4 linked regions of the Lepisosteus oculatus genome follow. The protein of the gene in region 4 purifies or fractionates together with the protein of the main gene of each other region. This does not show direct contact. Links are inferred from orthologs where the notes say so. Each region holds a gene or a part of one and is shown on either strand. Other genes may lie near its edges. The genes, in order: xrcc1, hltf, parp2 and rnf146.

Evidence for each region.
Region 1: the proteins of rnf146 (region 4) and xrcc1 purify together in Homo sapiens (co-immunoprecipitation; 3 studies listed by BioGRID and IntAct, with this or other methods). This does not show direct contact. The link is inferred for Lepisosteus oculatus from reciprocal best matches to the Homo sapiens genes RNF146 and XRCC1.
Region 2: the proteins of rnf146 (region 4) and hltf purify together in Homo sapiens (affinity purification with mass spectrometry; 4 studies listed by BioGRID and IntAct, with this or other methods). This does not show direct contact. The link is inferred for Lepisosteus oculatus from reciprocal best matches to the Homo sapiens genes RNF146 and HLTF.
Region 3: the proteins of rnf146 (region 4) and parp2 purify together in Homo sapiens (affinity purification with mass spectrometry; 4 studies listed by BioGRID and IntAct, counting the BioPlex papers as one, with this or other methods). This does not show direct contact. The link is inferred for Lepisosteus oculatus from reciprocal best matches to the Homo sapiens genes RNF146 and PARP2.

Annotation. Positions count from the first base shown.
Region 1 is NC_090722.1:8,027,335-8,034,718, forward strand, and holds the start of xrcc1 (DNA repair protein XRCC1), read right to left. Parts: upstream 3,005-7,384; 5' UTR 2,548-3,004; coding exon 2,497-2,547; intron 1,357-2,496; coding exon 1,264-1,356; intron 699-1,263; coding exon 591-698; intron 1-590. UniProt on the Homo sapiens protein: Scaffold protein involved in DNA single-strand break repair by mediating the assembly of DNA break repair protein complexes. Negatively regulates ADP-ribosyltransferase activity of PARP1 during base-excision repair in order to prevent excessive PARP1 activity.
Region 2 is NC_090708.1:14,815,814-14,822,768, reverse strand, and holds the start of hltf (helicase-like transcription factor), read right to left. Parts: upstream 3,026-6,955; 5' UTR 2,697-3,025; coding exon 2,596-2,696; intron 1-2,595. Other genes in the region: bdh1 (D-beta-hydroxybutyrate dehydrogenase, mitochondrial), read left to right, coding at 3,717-3,929. UniProt on the Homo sapiens protein: Has both helicase and E3 ubiquitin ligase activities. Possesses intrinsic ATP-dependent nucleosome-remodeling activity; This activity may be required for transcriptional activation or repression of specific target promoters.
Region 3 is NC_090699.1:10,811,966-10,819,176, forward strand, and holds the start of parp2 (poly [ADP-ribose] polymerase 2), read right to left. Parts: upstream 3,011-7,211; 5' UTR 2,054-3,010; coding exon 1,978-2,053; intron 1-1,977. Other genes in the region: protein lifeguard 1-like, read right to left, coding at 6,923-7,060. UniProt on the Homo sapiens protein: Poly-ADP-ribosyltransferase that mediates poly-ADP-ribosylation of proteins and plays a key role in DNA repair.
Region 4 is NC_090697.1:37,574,563-37,581,499, reverse strand, and holds the start of rnf146 (E3 ubiquitin-protein ligase rnf146), read right to left. Parts: upstream 3,019-6,937; 5' UTR 2,930-3,018; intron 881-2,929; 5' UTR 820-880; intron 1-819. UniProt on the Homo sapiens protein: E3 ubiquitin-protein ligase that specifically binds poly-ADP-ribosylated (PARsylated) proteins and mediates their ubiquitination and subsequent degradation. May regulate many important biological processes, such as cell survival and DNA damage response.

The sequences.
Region 1 (7,384 bases), on a different chromosome or scaffold from region 4:
CTATGAGCTTATCTTGCCTTATCTTCATGCTCCTTGTGTGACAACTGCTTTGTATGTGAGGATACAATGTGACTATTATGCTATGCATACCCTACTAACAGGCCTGGTTTAGTTACAAACAGAAAATAGGTTACTAGTGAGAAAAGGAAATGTCTGCAAAAATTGTTTGAAAGCTTGTTGCGGACAAAGTGTCGGACAATATTCCAGGAATTACAAGTTATATGCTCCTGCAGCTCATATATCTGCCTTTGTGGGAGATGTGAATGTTACAGTTATGTCAATTGAGCCACACTGAACATTTGTGGGACAAGATGGAACAACAGGTATGCTTTAGGGCTCAGAGGGACGGATGAACCGGTACATGTGTTCTGGATCTTTGAGAGGAATAGGACAGAATCCCATTATAAAGCATGTGCAACCTATTGTTGTCATGGTCTTAAATCATACACTGTAATTACGTTGGGGTATTGCAATCCTCTTCGCAATGGAAGATCTAGCCTGAAGGTAGACACCATTGTGCAAATGTCTCAGGATCTCTATCCATGATCTGGGGGTGTTCCTACTGACTGCTCAATACACATCCTGCTCACCTCATAGTCCTGGTCTTTCACTGAAGTGGAGTTCCCCACCAGCACCTCAATAAAAGCTGAGCCTTCATTACCAATGTCAATGCTGTGGATCTGCTCTGCCTTCTCAAACTGCATGGACAGAAAAACAAAACTTGTGTGACTGGGATATTGCAATAAGCTGTCTTTTCAGGCTTGTTATACATTTTACATGATGACATTTTTGGTAAGTTATATTAGCGCTACGAGAATAATAATTTCTACAGCTGTTTAAATGTTGATTTCAAGCAATCCACACCCAGACACATTTTTAACCTTTGCAAATAAGTAGTACTCCAGACCCATTTAAAAAATGGTAAATGTAGTGTTATGTAAACCGACTGATAACATCACTTGGAGATTTAGAAGAAACACCAAACAGATGTGAATCCACTGCATGCGTTTCCACCATTGCAAATAACATCAGCTTGCATCCTGATCAAGCTGCTGTAGTGGGAATTTTAATTGGATCTCTGTCCACACTTTGTTTCTTTGTTTAATAGAACATTTTACATGAATCAAAACATTCTGGGGCATTTATTTATTCCATGTCTGAAACTGAAGACTATCATTCCTAAACTTAATACGATCCTGGAGACAAACTCGCAAAGTTTTCATTCCCATGTGCCTATAGAGAAGAAGAATAGATTTTTCCTACCTGTAAAATGACAGAGATCTGTTTCTCTCCCAGCCTGGCTGCTTTCCATTTCCTGTATGTGTCGGCTTTCAGCAGATTCTCTGCCTTGTGCGTCTGGAAGCGAAATTTGAAAGTGACAAATGGGTCAGGCAGGCTGACATCCAAACGGGCTCGGGCTCACCACACACTCTAGCGATTCTTGAAAATTTTGCGAATACACACGTCTGTGATGTAGTTTGGAATGGCAGCACAAGTGATACATGACACAACAGACATGCAATCTCACTGATAAAGTCCAATGGCAGTCAGAAACACTTATTCTGAATGGGGTATGTGCATAAGCAAAGAGAGAGAAAATATTCCAACACAGTTAACAATTTATTATTAGTTCAGACCTATTAGAATACAAGGAAAATATTAAATTAAAAATATTCAAGTAACTAACAAGAAGACCAAGATTCATGTAAAGACACAAATAGTTACAGTAGTAAGAATAAACACCCTTTTTTCAAATTTCAGAAATCACACAGTCCCACTTACAGACAACAGGGAAACAGTGCAACCAAAGAATGTGAAAATGTAAATGTGAAAATTTAAAGTGGCTTCTTAAAATTCAGTGTGCTTATGTCCTGGCAAACACTCCAGATCCGATTTGAGTGCAGAAACAAGTTAGATAAAATTGTAAAGATGTAAACTGATCAATTAAAGCACTCAATTAGCACCGCAGATCTAGACAGAAAGAAACAGCATTTGCTAAAAACTGTACCCCTCAGTGACTTGCGTTAAGCAGGAGAACCTTAAAGCTCACTAAACATTTCACACATGCAAGGAATTACAGTATACTGAGGAAAAACAGAACCTTATCAATGATATTACGTTTAAAAAATACGTTTTACTACAATGCAACAGGGTTTCGGTGTGTTAGAGTGAAACAGAACCGATTCTTCTTGTAAGCGAAACTGCATTAAAGGACACATATCAACAACGTGAACATCCAAGCATCCAATCCACTCATAGTTTAGTTCACCTGAATACGAACATAAGACATGTAAAAACATAACTTTATTCTATTGCTTACCTATTATTTACAGTTTGCAAATATCATAAGTTCTGTAAAGGAAACGTGTCTTGGGAATTATTAAAACAGTATTGCATAATACATATAGCACTCTTACACAGTATATCAGATATGCGTACGCGTCTCTTTATTTGTCAAAGTCGGGAGGCTTCACAACCACACAAAAGTTTACTTACACTGTCCTCGCTGCTGCAGGAGACAACGTGTTGCAATTTAATCTCCGGCATAGTTTAGAAAATAGCTATAAAGTTGAATTGTCGTTGGGGGTTAAATAAATACGCATTTGCTGAAGTGAGCAAACGAAAATCATAAAACGCGTGTTGCGGACATATTGCACACGATTGGTTTATGGAAAAATAACAATCGGTAAATGAATTTTAAGTGCGTTAGGAAAAGTGCACCTATTCACCTACTGCACAGCACTCATTAGACAGGCCATCCGACATACAGTACAATGACCACCTCTCTTTATCCTGGATTTTAACTTGTGTCAGGCGTTAAAAAGTCTGGAAGAGGTTGTGAGTTTTACTTTCTCCTACAATAGTGTTTGGTTACAAAAACGCCAAAAAATGTCCGATAACGAGTTCTACTGTTACTTTTATTCAATAAAAATCCTTCCCATTTCCAACATCTCCTTCCAGCTCAGTTCCCTCTTTTTGCTGGCGCTCCTTTCTGTTGTCAATTGTGAGAACCAACCAGAAACTATTTCCGGGTCAAACCAGGCAAAGCCAGCACCAGCCGCCATCTTTACGGTGGTCGTGTTGAACTGTGGCACATTAGATCATTTACATGCGTTGCTCTCAATTAGAAGCTAATGGAGATGGCTATGAATATGGTGACTTTGTTAAAAAAAAAATATGACATTGAATGCAACCCAAAGCAATTCAAAGAAATTATTGAGGCAATTCCACCTGCTCTCCTAGCTTTGGTAAAAAAAAAACGTCCCTATCCAGAGAAATATAATTCCTCTACTACCAGAGATCAAAATTGGAACTTATAATATATTGGAAAAAAAAGTAAATACATCTGTACTATTATGGCTGAGAGATTCTTCCCAGCCATCAAGGATAGATTATTAGAACTGAATGCATTACTCTCTCCACGCCACCAAAAACCAAGGATATTCATTTTAAAATACCGAATAACATATACTGTATACCTCTAAGGAATTTCTGAGAATTCCTCAGAAATTACATTTTTTTTCCTCATGTCACCATTGAACAACTTTCTGGCACTCTGTTTGTTCTTGGCTATACAACAGTAATATCTGTGTACATTTAACTTTTAAAGATATTGTTCTCTGTGTCTCGAATCCAAGCAAAGAAGTCCGTTTAACGGTTAATGTTATTCTCTTGTTTGCAAAATTTCACATACACACGTGTAGAGTAAAAAAGAATCCTATAAGCTTTAAAGAATTTCCTAACTCATTCAAGCTATACTCTAATTTACTGAAAATATTTTAAAATAAGCATGGTGAGTTGGTCTACAAAAGTCTTTTAGCATATAAACTTATGTAATGTAACCTCTAACACCACATAACCTCTGTACTATGGACAAGATGGTTTCTTTTTTTTGTGTTTTTTTTTCTTTTTTCCTCCTGTTTCATTCACTTGTTGCTACCTTGTTGTGTCATGTTGAGACATCTGTATATATTTCTGTATATGTACCCCTGTTTGTTGTATTTCCTCCTTTTGCATTTAAATCTATATATATATTTTAATTTACATGCGTTGCAGCACTGGACGTTTTCGTTAAATAAAATGACGCATTTATTTTCTTGTGCTGGTCACCACATTCGGCTGGTCTTTGTTGTTTTAGCTGAAATGCTCTGGGAGAGATGGTTCTTTATTCTTAGGTAATAAGCAAAAGGCCAAAACCTTCAAAGCAGGATTGCATTGATATAGTTTTGTGCATTTTGATAAAGAAGAACAACCAAAAGCTTACACAGCATGCAATGGAAGAATTACTTAAAAGCAAATGAAAGGAGGGTTTTTAATTATTAGTCTTCTTGTTGCAAATGTAAATGGAGCCTAATTCAAATATATTTTTGGGAGCACACGTACCCCTACATTTAGGCCACAGAAGGGAATCTTTACAATGAAGATTTATAATCAATTCAAAGAAAATGAAAATAATCACAAATGGAGGCTACCTCAGGACCTGCTGACATGTAACCAATTTCTTACAATAAATTATTGTGACTGATGATCATTATTTTTTCCCTAAATGTAATATAACTTTTTTTACTTATAATTTAAAAAAAGCCCTGCCTCACACAAGTAACCAGTCACTGTAATGTATTACTCTTCAATAGCAACTTTTCCCAACAGTGTTAAAATAGGTACCTATAGAAGACGTTGGAAGTGTCTTTGCAGCCTCTGTCTGAATTAAGAGTAAATAGTAAAGAGCCACAAGAGGCCGCCAGAGACCACCGAATAGGAGCAGAAGCCGAAGTAAGCAGCAAGTGAGTTTTTGTTTTTAAATCTGTGAATCTCATAGAGACAAAGTGTAGAAGCTATTCGAGAAAATGTAAAGATTAACTGGAGGACATTAGGAGGTTTAACAATAACCTTCTGATCCAGAGTTTAGCAAAAAGTTACTCAGTTACTCATAACACAAAGCTACTCAGGCCATTCTACCTAATAACTGGGAATCTTGCAAACATAGTGGACCGTAAAGTTTGTAAATAGCATCAAAATAATAAATGTAAAATTATACGACCAACAAAAAGCAAAATGTCAGTCTGAAATAGTCAGTTTATTTCATTAACTATGTATCACAGTAAATACAAAAGAAGTCTTCATCTTCCAGACAATTCATCAGCTGAAGAGTCACTGACAATGGTTACTATACAGTACTTGACTATGGATATATTTTTGAACTCCAAAATGATACAGCTAATTACTCAGGAAACCGGGATACAGATGTTTACTTATAATCTTAGGTTATTTAATATCAACAATAATTAAAGCACTTGAGGAAATGGGAAATAGTTGCATACAGTACAAAGAGAGAGTTGTGGAAATGTGGTGCAAACCCAACTCATCTTTTACGTGCCAAAGATCTGAATTTCCTCCTTTTGTTTGTTTCTGATAATACAAGATAGTACAACCCACTGTATACTCAAGCCATAAAACAAAGCTTTTGTTATACACTCACAATATTTTCTTGTTTTGAGAAAATAATTAATTTGTGTTTTTTTGCATCAATGGGAACCTCAAATATGTGGATCAAGGAGGTCATTTTCGGGTTTCAAAATATTTTCTTCATTGAAACCGCCCCCAAATCAGATTTTGATTAACAAAAAGACATAAAAGGTTTTCATATAAAATCTAAAGGCCAGAACCAGGAAGAGATATAGTACCATCCTAATTTCACCCTTGAAAATAAAATGCATAAATACACTCCAAAGTGTAATTATGATTTTTGGTTGGCCTTAACAGACTACCAACAAACTCAAAGATGTTATGCGGGGAATAGAAAAAAAATACAACGTTTTGAAAAGTGGCCTTGTTTTATTTTCAAAGAAGAAAAGTGTTAGAAGGTTTGCAGTCAACCAGAAACACTTTGGACAGTGTTCAAATTTCAAGTAAGCAGTCACTTAAAAAAATCACACTCCATCTTTGTGCTTGTGAGTTTTTTTCAGTTACAGCTTACCAAAAGACGGTGTGTGTGAAAATTTAAAAAATAAAAAAATAAAACATGTAGTAGCCTAAAACTGTGATCTTAGCTCCATAGGGGTGTTTATTTACAGTATGCAACAAAACAAAACATAAACACTGCAGTCTAGTCTGTGAATGCTGCTAAGGTTACTAACAGTATGATGTAGTCTGATATACAGTATACAGTATATACTGTATAATATAAGAAAGTGTATGTACCGTACGTGTGTATATGTGTTGTGAAATCTATTGATGGTTAAGGTCAATTGCAAAACCAACAAAATCTGGGACTCTGCTTATAATTTTACTATAAGATTTCTAAATAATGTTTGCTTTGCTCTTCTATGTTTTCCATGAACAAAAGTCAAATTTCAGTGTAAACGAATTAGACAAAAACCTTCGAAAGAAAGATGACAACAGCTCAAGGTGAACTACACCTGTGTAGATAATATAAAGGGCTTTAGCAACTGATACATTGTGTCAATCAAATTGAATTAATCCATTGTTCAGTGTTTCTAGTTATTAACATGATTTATGCCAGTCTACAAAACCAGACAGGTAAAAGATTACTTTTTGCACAAGAAAATAAATACAGATCTACTGTATCTGTGTTTCTAAAACTGTCCATTTGTTTAAAACAGAATAGCTACACCATAGACTTCTGCATTTTGCATTCGAAGACAGCATTGTATTTACTGTAAAGTACATTTTTTCTAGAAATGGTGTGGATAAGAAAAAAATATTACTTCCATATTGTTCATGAAATATTTAATTAATGATTTTGCTTACTATAACCCTCATATTCTCAACAACATCAACAGAGACATCACATTTTATACCTTTCATGTACGATTTTTTGTTTGTAAGAGTTATTTCATCATAATCAATCATTTGGAAATGACAGAATTTTAGCAGCACTAAAAACCTTCACCACTGATGACCACTTCAGATCTTGCAGAACAAGTCAAATAAAAAGAGCATTCATTATTTTACCAAATACAGTAACTAACACAGAGTGTGTCAATAATTGACTGTACAGTATATAATGACAAAGTAAACTGAAATCTTAATCTTGTTAAAATGCCACAGTACATTTGTGTACTGTTAAGGCAATACGCAAATAAAATTAGACAAGATTGAATGATGGTAACTTTTTGGATTGTTGTGCAGAACTGTATGACATTAGTTGCCTGGTCTAATTTCTTGGGAATTGTATTAATTTCCTGGAGGAGGATATTTTAACACATCAGAGAAGGGACTTTAAGGATATATTAAATTTGAACTAATGGTAAATAATAGCATGGTAGTACAGTGGTTAGCATTACTGCCTGACTGCACTGGGTTCCATTCCTGGGGTGTACTCTGTATGCAGTTTGTATGGTCTCCCCATGTTTGTGTGGGT
Region 2 (6,955 bases), on a different chromosome or scaffold from region 4:
AAACAGACATCAGAATAGACGTAAAATTAAAATACGTACAGTAATAAAAAATAAATACATAGTTAGATGTGTGCAAAATATGCTCATAGTCACTGTAAAACAATAACATTTGTGCAAAACGTGCATAGGTATATACAGATTGAGTGCCCAAAAAGTACAATAGTGCAACATGCTGTCCATAGACGAGCAGATGAAGGGCTAACAGTCCTAGCCTAGGGCAGCGTTATACACCCTGACAGCCGCCAGGAGGAAAGACCTGCGGAAACGTTCCCTTGAGCACCGTAGCTGGAGCAGTCTGTTGCTAAAAGTGCTCAGCTGCCCAGTTACAGTCCCATGAAGTGGATGAGAGGCGTTGTTCATGATGGTTGTAAGCTTGGTCAGCATTCTCCTTTCAGCCACCACCTCCAGGGGGTCAAGGCTCAGCCCCAACACAGATCCACTTGATGAGTTTGTTGAGCCTATTTACATCTCTTGTCGTGATGCTGCTGCCCCAGCACACAACATCGTAGAAGATGGCCGCTGCCACCACTGATTCAAATAAAATGCGTAACAGTGTTCCACATACACCAAAGGACCTGAGCCTCCTAAGAAAATAGTTGGCTCTGACCTTTCTTGGACAGGGTGTCAGTGTTAACAGACCACTCCAGCTTATTGCTTGTAGGACTGCACCACCTCTATGTCCTCGCCCTGGATGGAAAAAGGGTTCAGCAGAGACTTATTCCTTCGAAAGTCCATGACCATTTCTTTAGTCTTGCTGGTGTTTAGCTGGAGATGGTTAAGATGACACCACTCCACAAAGTTGGTAACCAAGCTCATTTATTCCTCCTCCCTCCCCTAATACACCCCACAATTGCAGAGTCATCCAAAAACGTCTGCAGATGACACGCCTCAGAGTTGTACCTGAAGTCAGAGGTGTAAAAGGTAAACAGGAATGGAGCAAGGACAGTCCCCTGTGGAGCCCCAGTACTGCTAACAATCTGTTCGGACACACAGCTCTGCAGCCGTACATACTGTGGCCTGCAGGTCAGATAGTCTATAATCCAGGACACCAGGGGAGTGTCCACCTGCGCAGCTCTTAGCTTCTCTCTCAGTAATGGGGGATGGATGGTGTTAAAGGCACTGGAGAAATAAAAGAACATAACTCTCACAATGCTCCCCGTCTTCTCCAGGTGAGAGTTAGGTCTGTGTAGCAGAAAGATGATTGCATCCTCCACTCCCATGTGTGACCGGTAGGCGAACTGCAGGGGGTCAAGTGCTGTACTCACCAGGGTTCTGAGTTGGTCTAGTACAAGCCTTTCCAGAGTTTTCATCAGGTGTGATGTCAGTGCCACTGGTCTGTAGTCATTTAAGACTTTAGGGTGCCCCTTTTGGGGTACTGGCACCAGGCAAGGTGTCTTCCAGAGCCCTGGAACCCTTTCTAGTCTCAGGCTCAGGTTGAAGATGTACTGCAGCACTTCAACCATTCAATACCTACTTTTTAACCACTGGATCACAAGAGTGCAGGGGATCATTAAAGCAGATCTGTGAGATACCATCCACAGATACCATAACAGAGTACGATATGTTTCAATGATGTTGTATGACGATGAGAAATAAGGCTTTACAAATTAATTTCTAAATAACTTCACAGGAACATAAAAGAGCAGTAACGCTGTCAAATGTTCATTTAAATAGTAATTAATCTATATTTGGACATAGGTGTTGTAACAATAATTCCACTCTGCTCTCCTCCCCACTGAAAGCTGATGTGTGGCGAGTATACTGGCACACTATGGCTGCCGTTGCATCATCCAGGTGGGGCTGCACATTGGTGGTGCTGGAGGGGAGTCCCCATTGCCTGTAAAGCACTTTGAGTGGAGTGTCCAGAAGTGTAAGCAATTATTAATTATAATATTGAAGAACACATTATCAGTATTGTGAGCTACAGCACTAAAAAATTGATAAATGCAAATAATATTACAGAAAATTACTCCATTTCCCTAATGCACAATGTTTAGTACTTGTTAAATCGCTTAGACACATTCCTTACAGAGGAGCTTGTAAAAGCTGCTCTGTGTACCCTCCAATAATCTTGTTAGCTATACACAGCTCTTAAATTCAGAAACTATTTTAATCCCTTTCCCTGCTCCAAGCAGAATATGAATCTTTTTAGAAATCGTGACACTCCAGAATTACCAATTATTTTTAGAACCAACATTTTTTTTAACACTGATCGCTATTCAAAATAACAACACACTTCAAAAACACCACGCCTTGCAGAGAATAAGCTTGCACTGCAACACTAGTCCCAGAAAGAAATGCAAAACACCAGTTCCAAAACCGATACAGGTTTCTTACTGAACAAGGAAAATATTATTCAGTTGTCCATCACCATTGCAAACATTACACGGAAATACTATTTACAATAGCTTTTCAGACATCCCAACTTTGAAAAATGTATTTCAGCGAGGGGGGTCGTCCCTCCCGCGAAAACTTTCGGACCAGAGGGGGCGGGTCCCCCTCCGAAAACAAAATCACAGCTATATAATTAAATAAATCGCTGATAGATACTATAATATGTATGCATTATTCTATAAATGCTACAGTATAACTCACCAGTCCCGTTGAATAATCTCGCTTTCTTTGCAAACTTTCGTTGTACAGAGATGCCACTGGTTTAGCAGATTTAAGCGGATTCTCAGATGACTCAGGGTCATATTATATAATTAAATAATTCGCTGACGATTTCTTTCGGACCGGGGGTGTCGCCAACAGACAAATGTGGGAGCGGGGGGCGATTTCCGGCAGATTATAGATCACTTGAGGGGAGGCATGGAGGAGACGCTGACTTCCGAGAGACTTGAGATGTCAATACCGCATAATGCGCCACACGAGTTTTACGCTCAAAACCTATACACATACCCAAAACCCGGAAACAGAAACAAGATTTAGGATAGCTCAACAAATAAGAATTTGTCTGCCTTAGCTAAGCAGCGTATGAAAAAAATGCAGATATTTACTTCCCTTCTCCAATTAAAAATCAGAAGGCGGGATCAAGCAAGTAAAAAACCTGGGCGGAGTCAATAATATATGAAACCAGGGTGAGTGGGTTTAGTTACCTGTGAAATAGGCGGTACAGGAATTGAAGTTGTACACAGCTTTATCAGCAATACTGTTTGTTCCACCTTGATTATGAACCTTTGTTTTGCAAAACTCTGCCATTAAATTCTAACAGCTGCCTACAGTAATAGCAGAACTAAAAGGGGGTTTTCATCCAAAATAATGTTATCAGAGGTACTGGATGTGGCAGTGTGGGTTTTTCGTAATGTAGTTGCTGTAAATTGTGTGCTGGAGAAATCGCAGTTGGAAAAACGTGAGGACTTTAATTCAATAAATAAAAGCTGGTTAATGATTGACGTTTTACTGGAAACATGATCTGGCCACTCACGAGTAGAGTTGATTCCGTCCCCTCTGTAATTAATTAGACTGAACAGAAATAAAGGACGCACAGCACGTGGCAGCCCTAGCTTGCTTTCCTAGTGCTGAATTAAGTGCATGTTACTGTATGTGAGAATTCAGTTACATTTTATCAAAACATTAACTAAATGAAGCTGAGCGATTGGCGTTTAACTGGGCAGGAAGTGGAATTCTGGTGTGGTAGGCGCTGTTCTCTACTTTTAAATCGCACTGTTCCGGTCCAGATCAACACAAGCGAAGTCTGACGAGCAGCAGAAAACATGCCTCCTTTCCCTCTTATTAAAATGGCGTTCCTTCTACTTTTTTCTTTGTGTTTGACATTAATTTTAGGGTTCGGGCTCCCAGAAGCATTGAATTTCATTGTTAAATGCTGTGGGTTTGCAGAAGCCAGCGTAACCCACTGCATAGTCCTTGTGTATTTCATTTTCGTATTTTTTGTGGCAATGCCTTCCATCCCCAGGGGCTCTGTGAAAGTAAGTAATACTGAAGTTTTATTGTTTCGTGTGGCGTCAACGCCACAGCACTGTATTGTACATCGAAGAGTGAATTTGGCACCAGTCATGTATACATTAGTATGTAGTAGTATATACTGGGTTGTTGACGGTGTCTATTTTTATAAATAATGTTAATGCAACTTGACCTGGAAAAGGTCAACTTTGTATCTTTAAACTTTTTTTAATGATTTTGTTGAGCGTTTTCATTGATTCTACTGAACTGGCCAGGATAAAGTAACTGACGTACTGTATAAGAGGGAATACATATGTCAATATTCGTATTTTTTCCAGGACTTGTAATGTCTGCGTTTCGTACACGGATTATTTGTTATAAAGTAATTGAGCGAATTCTTATTGCTTAGCGACCTGCTTCTGCACAACAACGAAAGAGCAAAGGTGAATAACAGAATCGGCTTTGCTTAAAAAAAAAACAACAACTGAAAGGTAACAAATAACTCGCAAAGTAAATCTGTAAGCGCTGGCTTTTTTGGTTTCGTGCCCCTGGGAAGGTTGTGTTGAAATTAAGTTGAAAAGGCACTGACATACTGTATAAGAGGGAATACATATGTCAATATTTGTATTTTTACCAGGACATGTAATGTCTGCGTTTCGTACACGGATTATCAACTATTCTAGTGCTGTTCGTACACATCTGTTTTACGCGTATTATTTGTATGTGCTAAGGTATTTCATATTAAAAGCTAATCAAGTTCTCCGCCTATACGTGAAATTATCAGTACAATACACTGCATCTTCAGGTTTCATGTGAATTTACACAAATTTAAAATTAATACATTTTCTTCCTCTATTTGATTCTCAGTGGGAGGTTGGCATATTGCAGCCTGTCATGGATCTGGTGATCAATTAAATATTTTTATTTATTATTATTTTATCAATAAAATAATTAAATTCTCATTTTGGTGACCCACCCCACTAACTCTTAATGAGATGAGAAAAATTGTCAAATTGTGTCAAGCTACCAGTTCCTCAATAAAAAGTATTGTTCAAGACTGCTTAAAATACTGTTGTTGAGAAGGGTTTTAAAAAGGTATTGGATTTAAAACTGGCTTTAATTGCTTATATTCCAATTAGAACCACATTACAAACTGCTGTTGTAAGCAACTTATGACTTTCGTATTATGTGAAACATTTTTTTAATAGTTTTGCAGAGCAGTGAGATGGATAATAGAAAATAGTATACAAAACACCACACAGTTAATCATGCCCTTTACCTGTACGTTTGCTATGGGTTTTTATGTCCATGTGGGATTTGCCTTCTCTTTGGGCTATGCATTTCTTATATAAAACATTCTGAAATGTTTTTTTTAAGCATGTGCCAACATGCTAGTGCTGGTGTAATGTGAAAACGTTCAGAAATTGTTTTTGATAACTGGTTTCCACAAAAACACTATTAAAGAGAAATGGGTACAGGCAGGTCTTAAATGACACACCCTTTACTTTGCCCAGTTTGGCCTTATTAATATATTGAATACATTTCTTAATGTACTGTAGGCTATGAATTGGTTCTCATTTTAACATGCTTGGTCCCAGTCTGCAACAGGTGATTTGATGGAGTGTTTGAGTCTGTACACTCGGCGTGTACCAAGTTGTAAGCTGTCCCTCATCATTTCCTGTCATCTCAAGCTTACTAAATACATATTGAAAATGTCTTAGTCTGCACCTAATGTTTATGTTGTATAACAATCTACAAGAGCACGTTCAGCAATAAAATGATTCATCCACAGTGTGACAGAGAGCGCTACAGGAGGTCATTCTTGCCTTCTGCCATAAGACTGTACAACTCATCCACCTTGCGTCTGGGCAGAGGCAACATTGACAGTGACCTGTTTCTGGACTGAACGCATCTACACATCTACTGCTACATCTGTTCTCTTTCTTTTCCCATTTACAACCATTTTTTGTGCAATATATGCCAGGGACCCGTGCAATACATTTATATTTATATCTATATTTACATCTATATTTATATTCTTATGTGCAATATGATTTTTCTGTGTACTGTTCTGTTCTAGTTTGTTCTTTGTGTGACCTGGACTGAGTAACTCTTTTAGAGCACTCCTCACTGTATTGATTGTATTGTAGTATTATTATTATTATTGTATCATTCGTTACACTGTGTTGTCTGTGTTAAGCTGCTGTTGCACTGCAATTTCCCTCACGGGATCAATAAAGTATCTATCTACTACAATGCATAAAATGCAGAGCGGTGGCTCTGTGGCTGAGGATCTGCGCCTGTGACTGGAAGGTTGCCGGTTCAAATCCCACGGCCCGCAGTGGAATCCTACTCCCTTTGGCCCCTGAGCAAGGCCCTTAACCCCAACTGCTCCAGGGGCGCCATACATTGGCTGACCCTGCGCTCTGACCCCAAGCTTCTCTTCCTGTCTGTGTGTCTGTGTCTCATGGAGAAAAGCTGGGGTATGCGAAAAGACAAATTCCTAATGCAAGAAATTGTATAGGGCTAATAAAGCAACATTATTATTATTAAAACAATCTTAAAGCTGAATGCAAACACAAGCTTGTTATTTTTAAGTCTTTAAAAAAACCTCCCAAATTGTCAACCTTGATGTTAAATAAAATGGGTTACGATTACTAATTGGCTGAAAATATTCGCAATGTTATTTACAAGACTTCAAAATACACGTCCATTTTTAAAAGGCTCACTGAGAGTAGGAGGACTGAAGACAGCTGGGCAAGACTCACTGCCCCTCACTGTTGACATAAAATTGACAGCCAACTCTTAGAAAAGCTTAATGTCTATACAAATAAGTATTAACATCTTACATGAATAAAACTGCATGATTGGTTTTTATCTAGCAATCGATTCTCTGGTTGGATGGGAGCTAAACATACCCCCCTCCCCCCATTTACAGTACATGCACTACTAGAGTGAATTCATTTTTAATTTACACATTTGTTAATTATGCAATGTTTTTCAGGAGTGTATCTCCTGTGTAAATCGAGAACAACCTATATGACGTGTTTTT
Region 3 (7,211 bases), on a different chromosome or scaffold from region 4:
GCAGAGTCACACACTGCCACAGGCTCTCTGACAGAGAGAGAGCACAGTCACACACTGCCACAGGCTCTCCGACAGAGAGAACAGAGTCACACACTGCCACAGCCTCTCTGACAGAGAGAGAGCACAGTCACACACTGCCACAGGCTCTCTGACAGAGAGAGAGCAGAGTCACACACTGCCACACGCTCTCCGACAGAGAGAGAGCAGAGTCACACACTGCCACAGGCTCTCTGACAGAGAGAGAGCAGAGTCACACACTGACACACGCTCTCCGACAGAGAGAGCAGAGTCACACACTGCCACAGGCTCTCCGACAGAGAGAGAGCACAGTCACACACTGCCACAGGCTCTCCGACAGAGAGAGCAGAGTCACACACTGCCACAGGCTCTCCGACAGAGAGAGCAGAGACACACACTGCCACACGCTCTCTGACAGAGAGAGAGCACAGTCACACACTGCCACAGGCTCTCTGACAGAGAGAACAGAGACACACACTGCCACAAGCTCTCTGACAGAGAGAGCAGAGTCACACACTGCCACAGGCTCTCTGACAGAGAGAACAGAGTCACACACTGCCACAAGCTCTCTGACAGAGAGAGCAGAGTCACACACTGCCACAGGCTCTCTGACAGAGAGAGCAGAGTCACACACTGCCACAGGCTCTCCGACAGAGAGAGCAGAGACACACACTGCCACAGGCTCTCCGACAGAGAGAGCAGAGTCACACACTGCCACAGGCTCTCCGACAGAGAGAGCAGAGACACACACTGCCACAGGCTCTCCGACAGAGAGAGCAGAGTCACACACTGCCACAGGCTCTCCGACAGAGAGAGCAGAGACACACACTGCCACAGGCTCTCTGACAGAGAGAGCAGAGTCACACACTGCCACAGGCTCTCTGACAGAGAGAGAGAGCAGAGTCACACACTGCCACAGGCTCTCCGACAGAGAGAGCAGAGTCACACACTGCCACAGGCTCTCCGACAGAGAGAGCAGAGACACACACTGCCACAGGCTCTCTGACAGAGAGAGCAGAGTCACACACTGCCACAGGCTCTCTGACAGAGAGAGAGAGCAGAGTCACACACTGCCACAGGCTCTCCGACAGAGAGAGCAGAGACACACACTGCCACAGGCTCTCTGACAGAGAGAGAGAGCAGAGTCACACACTGCCACAGGCTCTCTGACAGAGAGAGCAGAGTCACACACTGCCACAGGCTCTCTGACAGAGAGAGAGAGCAGAGTCACACACTGCCACAGGCTCTCCGACAGAGAGAGCAGAGACACACACTGCCACAGGCTCTCTGACAGAGAGAACAGAGCCACACACTGACACAGGCTCTCTGACAGAGAGAGAGCAGAGTCACACACTGAGACAGGCTCTCTGACAGAGAGAGCAGAGACACACACTGACACAGGCTCTCTGACAGAGAGAGAGCACAGTCACACACTGCCACAGGCTCTCCGACAGAGAGAACAGAGTCACACACTGCCACAGGCTCTCTGACAGAGAGAGAGCACAGTCACACACTGCCACAGGCTCTCCGACAGAGAGAACAGAGTCACACACTGCCACACGCTCTCCGACAGAGAGAGCAGGGGGGAATGACACGGGACCCGATGCAGCCCACGGTGCTGTACAGGTCCGCTTGATTTACACGCCAGGCAGCACACCCCCTCTCAACGAGGGCTGCTCTCCAGCGGCCGAGACCGATCGCAAATCCCACGGCACGAATGCGACCGTGCCTCGCCGCCAGAGCTGGAGAACAATTCGCAGCAAAGCCCCGTTCGGCTAACCGAGAGCACGGAGCCGCAGAGTGGCGGAGAGACAGCCGGGAGGCGCCCTGTTTCTCCGGCCGGCGTGTGGTCCCTCACGCGTGTACACGCGTGTTCTTTCAGCCTGTTTCCTCTGCTGTGGGGGTCTCTAACAGGACAGCCCCCCAGTAAAACAAAACGGTGTCTGTTCCGCGAACTACCTGGTTTCTGCTCAGTCTGGGCTGTTTCTTCTGCTGAAACCTCAGTCCTGTTACGGCTTCCTCGGGTCCGGGGCATGGTAACACAGAAAATATATATATATGTGTGTGTGTGTTACCAGGTCCCTGGAGTTGGGGAGTTTCGGTGTTGTTATGTAGTTAACGGATAAGGTGGTAGTCGGCGCAGTAACTCTTTCTAGCTCTCTTGTTGCTCCGACCTACAGGAAGCGCGCGCGCGCGGGCGCCCTCCACTCGTCCTCGCCATTGGTCGACGTCGCTGTCAATTAGACTCGGTGGAGGTTCTCATTGGCTAACATGAGCGAATGCGGGACAAAGAGGCAGGGGTGTGCGTGTGTAAGCCCCGCCCCGGTGGACTACAATGGTTTCCCTGGGTTCGTGTGCTGAGGGCGGCCGCAGTGACACAACCGGCCGTTTCACTTAAAAAGATGAGAGCGGTGCTTTTCGCATTGGCCTGCGGGGAATTTTAGTGGTTGGCTTGGTTAAATTTGCTAGTGAATGCTTCTTTTTTGACTGCCACGGACACGAGTGGGCTGAGGTGGACGTCTTAACTGGCTTTTCGGATGGATCCCTGGGAACTGGCTCTGCGTGGGGCCGGTTAGCTCAGTTGGTTAGAGCGTGGTGCTAATAACGCCAAGGTCGCGGGTTCGATCCCCGTACGGGCCAGCGGGTCTTTTTGTTGTTCTGTCCCCCCGAACTATTTCACGTCGTGCACGCTCTTTACTTTAGCGTTGTACCTTTCTCTTTACAGCAACGCTGGAAACGAAACAAAAACAAAATAAAGATTTCCCCTTGTCTTTCTTCCGAAGATGAAGTGCGATTCAGACTGCGAACGGAAGTGTCGCCTGCGGTCGTGTCGCCTGCGGTCTGGACCCTGTGACCTGGCCTTGCTGCAGCGTTAAGGTTCACCGCCGCTCACACCGCGGAAGTACATAGCGTGCACCTGTAATGGCTCTGAGGAAAGGAGCAAAAGATAACAAAACACCCACTGGCCCGTACGGGGATCGAACCCGCGACCTTGGCGTTATTAGCACCACGCTCTAACCAACTGAGCTAACCGGCCTGCTGGAAGAACTTGCTCATGATAGTGCTCTCAGTGGTGATGGAGGTGATTCACTGAGCTTCCGTTCTCTGTGGGGTAAAGAGACTCTTCTCTTCACAGAGGGCGCCCCCACGTGCGGCTTTTCTCATCAACAGCTTAGACACCAGAAACAGACTGCAAGCTGAAAATAACGCTCTAACCAACTGAGCTAACCGGCCCCAAGCCACCCAACATCCAGGGAGCCGGTGGAAAAGCACGTACCGACGTCCATCTTGGTCCACGCGTGTCCGTGAGAGTCAGAAGCATTCACCAGCAAACTTAACCAGACCAGACACTAAAAATAACATCCCCCGCAGGCCAATGCGAAAAACGCTGCTCTCATCCTTTTAAAAGAAACGGCCGGTTGTATCAAAACCCCTGCCTCTTTGTCCCGCCCTCGCTCATGTCAACCAATGAGAGCACACGCACACACACACTTCGTTTTTTTTTTTCCGTGGGGTGGGGTAACGTGTAACGAGGTGCCGGTTAGCTCAGTTGGTTAGAGCCTGGTGCTAATAACGCCAAGGTCGCGGGTTCGATCCCCGTACGGGCCAGCGGGTGTTTTGTTGTCTTTTGCTCCTTTCCTCAGAGCCATGACAGGTGCACGCTATGTACTTCCGCGGTGTGAGCGGCGGTGAACCTCAACGTGGGAATCGAAAGAGCTGCAGCGCGGCCGGGTCACAGGTTCCAGACCGCAGACTGCAAGAGCAGGCGACACGGACTGGTCATCGACTCAGGATGGCCGAGCGGTCTAAGGCGCTGCGTTCAGGTCGCAGTCTCCCCTGGAGGCGTGGGTTCGAATCCCACTTCTGACACAGACAGCTTTTTCCGTTTGCCTGATGTTATCTGGACGCGAGGGCTTTGTAACGCGAGTGCACGTCGTGTGCGTGCTCTAGGACGAAAACAGTTTTGCAAAAGGCTCCCGTTCAGCGATGACATACTTCCCCAGCTGCATGACGCACATAGCTCATGGCAATGACAGCTGAGGAGAAAAGGAAAAGCCAGCGTCTCCCCGTCGGGGAATCGAACCCCGGTCTCCCGCGTGACAGGCGGGGATACTCACCACTATACTAACGAGGAGGACGGAAGGGGCACATCCTTCTTGAACTAGAGACACTGAACACGCTTCTCGGACAAAAGCTCCTCAGAATCGCCTCATTCACACAGGTCTGCTAAACAGTTTTTTTTACAGACTATACCAAACTGCAAGCACATGCAAGCTCTGCGGACCCGATCTTAATTGACCTTGTTTAATCGTTTTTCACAAAGTCTCATTGTATTATAGCACGTACTCCCGACGGTTATTTATAGGGTTGTATGTATATATGTGCGTGCTCTATTGTATCCATTTTAGTTAGTAAAATAATTTTAAAAGAAGGTTTCCAATATTCTCTGCTTTCTAAGGTGGAGGGCGTTTCAGACTGAGAACGGGAGACACCTCTTTGCACAGAGAGTTGTGGGAGTGTGGAGCGAGCAGATCAAGAAAGTAAATTAATTCCTTATGCTTACGTGTTTTTTGCTTTCCACTCAAAGTGCTTTACTGGTAGCAGACAGCAGAGTGTTGACGCCGGTTCACAGATGGGGATTATTTAGGAAGCCATGAGTGGACAGAGAGACAGAATTTGGGCAGGTAGGAATCCAGCCAGACGCCCTGAACAATCTGAAAACTACGTGCCCACCTCCTGTATCCCTGTTCTGGCTCCAGTCTAATTGGCAGTGCCCAGGTCTGACATTACTGCTCCAGCAGTGCCCAGGTGTGACAGTCCTGCTCCAGCAGTGCCCAGGTCTGACATTACTGCTCCTGCAGTGCCCAGGTGTGACAGTCCTGCTCCAGCAGTGCCCAGGTCTGACATTACTGCTCCAGCAGTGCCCTGGTCTGACAGTCCTGCTCCAGCAGTGCCCAGGTGTGACAGTCCTGCTCCAGCAGTGCCCAGGTCTGACAGTCCTGCTCCAGCAGTGCCCAGGTGTGACAGTCCTGCTCCAGCAGTGCCCAGGTCTGACATTACTGCTCCCTCAGTGCCCAGGTCTGACATCACTGCTCCAGCAGTGCCCAGGTCTGACAGTACTGCTCCTGCAGTGCCAGGTTCTGCTGCAGCCCCCGTTCTGTGGGCGACAGCAGGACCAGGTCATCTGCGTAGAGCAGGAACTTGATTTCTGTGTCGTATAGTGTGAGACCAGGAGCTGCAGACGGTTCTAACATTCCTGCTAATTCGTTGATATAGATATTGAACAGTGTTGGGCTCAGGCTGCAGCCCTGTCTCACCCCACAGCCTTGGCCTCTCTCTCAGGGTCCATAGGAGGGACCACGTCAGTTTTGCAGCTCACTGGAAGGGAGGCACCTCTGATGACCCAGTGTGCCTGACTGGCCCCTCCCATTCAGGGGGAAATTCTGGGAAAAGAGCACACAGCGCCACCTGCTGGTCCACCAACACCACTTCTCTAAAAAGTAATATTGTTGTTAATAATGCTTTCATCCTTTTTCTAACCACTTCACCAAGTACAGGGTCAGGTGGGAGCCAAAGTCTATTGCAGCAAGCAAGGTGCTGGGCACATGGCAGGGTACGCTCTGGTCAGGACACCAGTCCATCACAGGACACACACGACAGGACAGGACACCAGATGCAGTTTTCCCAGAAACTGATTGGCCTCACCAGCATGTCTTTGGACTGTTAGAGGAAACCCAGGCAAACACAGGGAGAACATTGACCACAGGGTCCCAGTACTACAAGGCAGCATGGCAGACCACTGTGCTACCCTGCTGTCCCACTGCTTATAATCATCACAATACACTTTATTTTATAAAGCACCTTCCATACCAAAAATATCCCAAAGCAGGGTTGATGGTAAAAGAGGATACATAGCCAGCAGCCATATCACCCTGCAACTCACAACTGTCAGCCCACTGAAGCTCAGCAGGTATGAGCCTGATCAGTACTTGAATGGGAGACTCCTGGGAAAAACTAAGGTTGCTGCTGGAAGAGGCGTTAGTGGGGCCAGCAGGGGGTGCTCACCCTGCGATCTATGTGGGACCTAATGCCCCAGTATAGTGACGGGAACACTATACTTTAAACAGCCGCCGTCCTTTGGATGAGATGTAAAACCGAGGTCCTGACTCTCTGTGGTCATGAAAAATCCCAGGGCGTTTCTCAAAAAGAGTAGGGGTGTAACCCCGGTGTCCTGGCAAAATTTCCCATTGGCCCTTACCAGTCATGGCCTCCTAATAATCCCCCTCTATAAATTGGCTTCATTACTCGGCTCTCCTCCCCACTGATAGCTGATGTGTGGTGAGTGTTCTGGCGCACTATGGCTGCTGTTGCATCATCCAGGTGAATGCTACACACTGGTGGTGGTGGAGGGGATCCCCATTACCTGTAAAGTGCTTTGAGTGGAGTGTCCAGAAAAGCGCTATAGAAGTGTAAGCAATTATTATAAAAACAGCACAATATAAGGACTAAACATATGACACTTTTCTTAGTGACAGCGTTCGGGGGTCTGTGATGATGCTGTGATAATGATTGCGTGAATGTTCGTAGTACAGAACTTGTGTTGTGTAGGTGTGCACGGTTTCCCAGTAGGGAATGCTGGTGTGTTCATCACAATGTGTGTATCACTGTATGTCTGTATCTCAGTGTATCACTTGATGCGTGTGTATCACAGTGTGCGTGTGTCACAGAGAGAGTGTGTCTGTGTGTGTGTAACATGGAGAGTGTGTTTGTCACAGAGAGAGTGTGTATCATAGAATATCTGTGTCACAGAGAGTGTGTGTGTGCGCATCACAGAGGGAGTGTGTGTGTGTCACAGAGAGAGAGTGTGTGTGTGACATGGAGAGAGTGTGTGTCCCAGCCAGTGCTAGTCGCTGAGCAGAAGCAGGTAGATGAAGATCATGCTGATGTCCAGGGACAGGACGAGGGCAGCGAAGCTGTGCTCCTCCAGGCTGGTGTCTGTGGGCTCTGTGCTCAGCACCGCCTGGCTGTCCTCTGCCAAACACTGCAGAGAGAGACGGAAGGGCGTTGTCGCTGACCGAGACTGACACAGTGATAGTGAGACAGTGAGACTGACACAGACACAGTGATAGTGAGACAGTGAGACTCACACAGACACAGCGATACACCCTCACACAGGAGAGTGCGGCAGAGCT
Region 4 (6,937 bases):
GGGATGTTTTTTTTATTCAGCATGTAAAATACATGCTGAAGTGGATCTTAATCTGGAGTTTGATTTGTCTAATCTATGATTTTCAATTCTTTTCCTAATAAACTTGGTTGCATTGGCCATATATTTTGGGTGACCATTAAACTGCATGGTAAAGTGCTGCTCCATTAAGTGTGTTTCTGTAAACTTCAGAATTCATTGTTTTTCTTATTAGATACATCAACGATACATTTCACTGAGCCGTTTTCAGAAGAGGAGGACATGTCTTCATCTCCACCACGCTTCACAGATAAGGTGATATTCTTTAAAACATTTGCAGTTCCTTTCTCCACACTTAACAGTTGAAAAGATTGAACTTGGTCCCACTATCTAAAAGTTAATGATGATTTCACTACCAGCTCTTGTAGGATTTTCTTATCCAGTACTGATCATTTTTGTGTTATCAGCTGCAGATGATTCCCTTGGCCAACCAGGTTTTGTCTTATTTGTAATTATGCCTGGTGTTTTCTTCTAATTAAATTCCAAATTGTTAATCTTGGAATCCCCAAATTAGAGTTCATATTTTATTTACCTCACAAATATATAAATATTTGCATATGTTTGGGGGCTTTCAATGCCATGGGTTAGGATGCTAAAAGTGATTAATAACTTTAATAATGTCAAAATTGTTTATTTTTATGTATTGAAACTAACTTGATTTCTATTTGTTCATTTCGTAATATGCACATTTTTTTACATATGAAGCAAGTTGTTGATTTTTTTCATGTAAAGAGCATAATATCCCATAAAATATGACTAAAGAAAGACAGATGCAGAACTTACGATATACACGGTAGTTACAGCACTTTCATCAAGAGGATATTTTTCTTCTTTAAGATTCTCCCTGATAAAAGAAAATGTTAAAACCTATAACATGAAACTGATTTTTCCATGCCTCCCACTAGTTAGACAACTTGAGACCTGCCCTCTAAACCCAGGGTAACTATATAAAGATATGAAATGCATGTATATACACAAATATAAACAATTATCAATCCACCCTTTTAAAATCCTCATCATCACATAAAAATGGTAGGCAAAACAATAATCAAACCTATCTACACCCATCTGAAACAAAAAAATCAAAATGAAAAAGTTTAGACAATTATCATGGTGTATCATGTTTAGAAACACATCGGTAAAGAAAACTAGCACCTTTCAATAATCTTTCAGGTTATTAATATTTTACATAAACTTGCAAATGATTCTTCATCAATCATCTCCCACTACTTAGCTCATGATATTAAACAAATTAGTTTTTTCCATTGCCTCCTGCTGTACATGCAAATTAACATCTGTCACATAGATATGAATACCTTGAATCCCTGGTCTTAAGTACGTTTATTTCTTACTAAACATTCCACATGTAGTGTCACTATCTCCAGTTTCTCTCAAGGTACTAGCCCACTTAAGAAAACGCTTTAAAAACCTACTAAAATAGGTCTTCCTTTGTTAGAAAAGAATTTACTTTGTTTCACCCAAGCATTAACCTACCATAACTTATTTAAATATACATTTATGTACTGATAAGGCCATACAATGTTTTGTTTTCTGCCCTGTATATTAACGCATTCTGTTGCGACTGTCTGCATGGTGTCATTTTCTTAATATATAACTACATTTTCTTCAAATTCGTGATGCCCGTTTTAGAGGACTTTACTTAATGTAGTAACAAAGAGGTCATAAACAGATGAACAAGTAAATCAATCTAATCACCACTATCAAACCTACTATATGATATATATATAAGAACTATAAGTTCTTCTTATGAGGAGGGAGAAAAGCATTCAGAGGAAATGTGAAACTGTTTAAACTGTTTTCTTCCTACAGAAATGAATTGTCTGTAACTTGATGCATTTATAAATTCGAATATTTCATATCTGAATATTAAATAAAACATGTTATCTTTATACACTCTATCAACAGAACATTAAAAACGTAATTCCCACAAAACATTAATTTTATCAATTATGTAGAATACTTAAAAGTACATACGTCACTGTTTCAACATTCTTTTTAAGTTGGTAAACCAAATCAGGTTCTTTCAAGTCCTCTTTATAAGGAATACTGTGTTTTGCAAATTAAGTTGTTTGGGATGAGCTCAACCACCTGTATTTTTAGTTCCTACACCAAACGGTAGCGGAGTTAATACCGCGTTCTCTAGCTATCAATTGGATATGTGCAGAATTATCTATCACTACTGTGCTGCTCCATTTCTTAATGTGTTCACACCCTACGGTAACGATGTGCATGTATACATACACACAGAATCGAGACTCAGGCTCAGCATTGTTATTAAAATGTAAACTATGCTGGTACAAACACAATCTTCACAGTAACGAGGTCTTCCTTAACAACAACGGATTTTCAACAGAACTCAGCCACCCAGTTCCGGACCGCTTGAAGGACCAAACTGCATTCTCTCTGAAGCCACTGCCCGTGAGACTCAAAGACTCGCCGACACTCTTCGTTTTTTAAGGTGGCTACAAAAGGACGTGAGGAAACCGTAGGCTGACCATTAAACACGACGGAGGCCCGACAGGTTAAACTTGAAATAATTACATTTCACGAGGCCTTCACGCAGGCGGGTAGTATCATCGAGAAGGCAGAAGTGGTTAAAAAGACAGGTGTCGTTTAGGATTGCTTGATTTCGTACAACGACCACTCCCAGGGCCCACCACAACAACAATAAGATATGTTGTCTGGTCAGGGTGATGACAGCCGCTGGTAATAGCCCGGCCAAGCAGCGCAGACCCCGGCCGCTTCCCAGACCGTAAATAAAAGGGCTTCTACTCATCGGCCGAACATTTCTGTCTAAAACAACGCCCCCACCATCTTATAACAAATTCGAAATTATCATTCGCCCTATTTACAGATTTCTCAAAATACTCACCAGCCCTTTTTTCTCCTCCAGCTCCTTCACAAGACGCCGAAGCCACCAACAATACGCATCATCCTCAGCGTGCTGACGATTAGGGCGTTTTGACGTCATTACGTAGATACGGAATGCGTAAAGGCGGAGCATCCGGGTGTTCCAGTCACCTGGAAATGAAATAAAATTAAAAGTCACCTGGAAATAAAAGGCAAAGGAAAGGTGTGCTTATTGGGTGGTAGTCTCTGAGATGTTTTAGTGTTTTATTTTTGGGGGGTTGAAACGCTTAAACATTTCGTGAGTTTGGTTTGGATATGTTTAATTAATGAGTTTTCTATTAACATCATTGATAACGTACAGGAAGCATTGTCCTGTTGTGCTTGATCCTTTACAGCCTACGCATACTAACGCAGCTACCCACCTGAACTACATAATCCATTATTTTTGTTCTCTTTCCCGTTTGCTATATACTTTTAAAGGTGAACACTGATCCATTTGATAAGTAAATAATGCTTATATACTGTTTGAATTAGTACTTATTTAAAAAAGCGAACGTTAATTTGTTTTATGGTTTAGTAATACGTTGATAAAAGTAACGATCGCAGCCTGTCGTATCTTAAATGTAATAAAAGAGTTCTGACGTAGGAATTATGTTTTCGACTTCAGTACGGTTTACTGTAATAACTGGAGTGGCGGGGCTCCCTGCAATAAAGTAAAACTACCAATTTCACGATTTGTACTGTGTAAATATCAAATCACATATCAAACACATTAGACCTTACCCTTACACTGTAGATCTTTTAGTTCTGCTTTTGTTATCATGAATACTATTTTATTTTGCCGGTCTTTGTTTGAGAATAATGCCTTGAAAATCAAGGATTCTGTGGTCTACTGACTTAACCAGTATGTTGTGGCCCGTAAGCACTTGCTGACATTTGGTAACCTGAATTTCTTGATCTAGAGATGAGCTGAACTGAGTTCTTATGATGGCGATCTACATTTACCTTCTCCAGTGCTGTCATTTAAGGATATTTAGGACTAATAGTTGTCTAATGAATTCAAAGGGAAATCATTGGCAAACTCTGGTTGTCGCAACTAAATTGCTTTTCTTTACTGCTGTTGTATCCTTAAGCAAAGTACTTCAATAAATTACTCCAGTAAAATGCCCTGTTGTAGAAATGGATGTAAATAAAAGTAACTTTGGACGGCTTAGGGTGTCATCTACATAAAGAATGAAATGAACATGTTTTATTAAAAAAATACTAATCTTGAATAAAAAGATAAAACCATTTTATATGATAAACATTTGTACTGCATATTATAGAGTTTGTCATCACGTTCATTCTCCTGTATGTTGAGTAAACAGAAGTGGGGTTTAGCTTTTCCAGAGCACTAAAAGGCTGTATTTTTAAACTACATTACAACAGTGAGGCCTAAATGAGTCTTGCAATCACAGAAAGGAAGAAGACTTAGGTACATGATTTATTTTAAAACATTATTTTTACATTATATATATTTTTTCAGTTCTAACCTTTAGCTTTTATCTCCTTTAAATATTTTAATCATTGACATTTTAGGACTTAACACTGCAGCAGTGACTCATTTATGGCTCAGGAGAGAGGAGACATAAACTGTCCTCTGATGCCTACCAGTAGAATTGATTTGACACAGTGCACAGCGCCTTGTTTTTTACATTATTCTTTAACACCATAGCACTATACACAGGACATTTGTGTAATAACTTGGTGTCGTAAACAAAAGTAAGTGCCATGCATAAATCAATACATGCAGTACAGTCCATGTAAACATTCTGTTAGAGCATCTCACTCATTACCATATAAAACCATTTTGAGTATTACAATGATATTAGCTGAACAGTTGCAGTACCTTTGAGCTATACAACTTCTATAATATCATTCTCTTAAAGATAATTGTGATAGGTCATCCTGTCTTTAGCTGTCTTGTGAGGCGTGAGCATATGAACTTTCCAAGCTTATATAATCCAAGCAGCCAGATCACCCTGCAACTCACACCTGGCAACTCACTGAAGCTAAGCAAGTGTGAGCTTGGTTAGTACCTAGATGGGAGAACTCCTGGGAAAAACTAAGGTTCTGCTGGAAGAGGTGTTAATGGGGCCAGCAGGGGCGGTCACCCCCTATAAAGTATAATGTTAAAATGCACCATCCTTCAAATGAGACGTAAAACCGAGGTCCTTACTCTTAGTGGTCATTAAAAATCCTAGGGCGTTTTTTAAAAAGAGTAGGGGTGTTACCTGGGTTTCCTGGCCAAATTTCCCACTAACCTTTATCAATCATGGCCTCCTAATAATCCCCATCTATGAATTGGCTTCATTACTCTGTTCTCCTCCCCACTGATAGCTGATACAGTATGTGTTGAGCATTCTGGCACACTATGGCTGCCGTCGCATCATCCAGGTGGATGCTGCACATTGGTGGTAGTGGAAGGGAGTCCACATTACCTGTAAAGCGCTTTGAGTGGAGTGTACAGAAAAGCCATATATACGTGTAAGCAATCAATTATTGTTATTATTATATTGTAAAAATATGCCAAGAATATACCCGAGCAGTTTGTTTAGTTAGAGGCACCTAATGTGTTTCTTCTCTTACACACTTCTGGTTAAAAAGTAATGAATAAGGGGCAAACAGCTGTGAACTAATATTTATTAAAAATAACAATAACTAGACAACACATACAACATAAAACATAAAAGTTACCCTATTAACAAACAAGGCCTTTCAGAGGTCTGAATCCTGACCAACTAGAAAAACCCAAACTGCTAACCCTGTATTCAGAAATTCTCTATCATACCTATATCAGACCAACACAAGAGATAAACCTGCATCTTAAATAAAACAGATTTCAACCCAAAGCTAAATTTATCTTCCCATAGATTAGAAAGCTCCCAGAGTGAATGGGAATCTACCTCCCTGTTCTAAAACATGTACAGAATATATTAACCAGAAGAAAACATCTTTAGCCTGGGAAAAGGAATGCGAGGAATGTTTAGGAAAATTCCTCTTGTTTTTTAGGAAATTAGAGTTTCTTAAAATAACAGAATGACAAGCTCTCTGAAACAAAGTTCAAATACTTTTTGCTAGAATCTTGTCTTTAAGACACATTTGAACAAAGTAGGTCACCTACTGTAGCATGTTTCGTCTCCTCTGTCTGTTCCTTTTTCTGTGTGTCTCTTTTTGTTTCTGCTTGTCTTTTATCCTGTGTTTCTGGAGTGTGGAAGACTCTTAATGTAAATTAACCAAGGTAAACGATTCATTTTGATCAATGTCTCTCAGACCCCATAGAGCTCAGCAACTGCTTTGACCTCTGTCCATTGTTTCTGCTATAGGTCCTGACACACTTTGATAGTCATAACAATATATAGAGAGATTATATATACATCCGTGTAGTTTGCACCTGTGTCCTTTAATTCACATTTCATTGTTTTTTTCTGAAGAATTCCACTGGATTGACTTTGTTGATCATTTTAAGGACTTTGAATATTTTCATATGGTTCCATTGTTTTCAGTGTTTAGTTTCTTTTGTCTGTTAGTGTTCCACATTCTGGGAAGTAATATCTACAGTATATTGTAGTTCTACACAGTATTGTGATATAAGGTGTTACTAGCACATTTTACAATTTGAATGTAACATCCCTTAACATTTCATAACTAGATATTCTAAAATTTTTATTATCTTTTATTTCTTATCCACAGTGTCTGGAAAACATAAATAATATGTCACCATGGACACCTTTTTCATGAAGTCCTGTCTTCACTAACCTCTTCAGACTTAGTGATTTCCAATTTTACAGCATATATACAGTAACTTATGTTTTTGCTACCTGTGCATTATACTCTGAATTAAATATTCAGTCTATACTAAAGATCATCAAAATGTTTAATTGTTTTCATTCAATGTCTGCATGTATATTTTAAAAAAAATAAGATTATTGAAGATGGAGAAAATGTTTTGGTGTCATTTTGATAAACTGATAATTCATGACTGTGATAC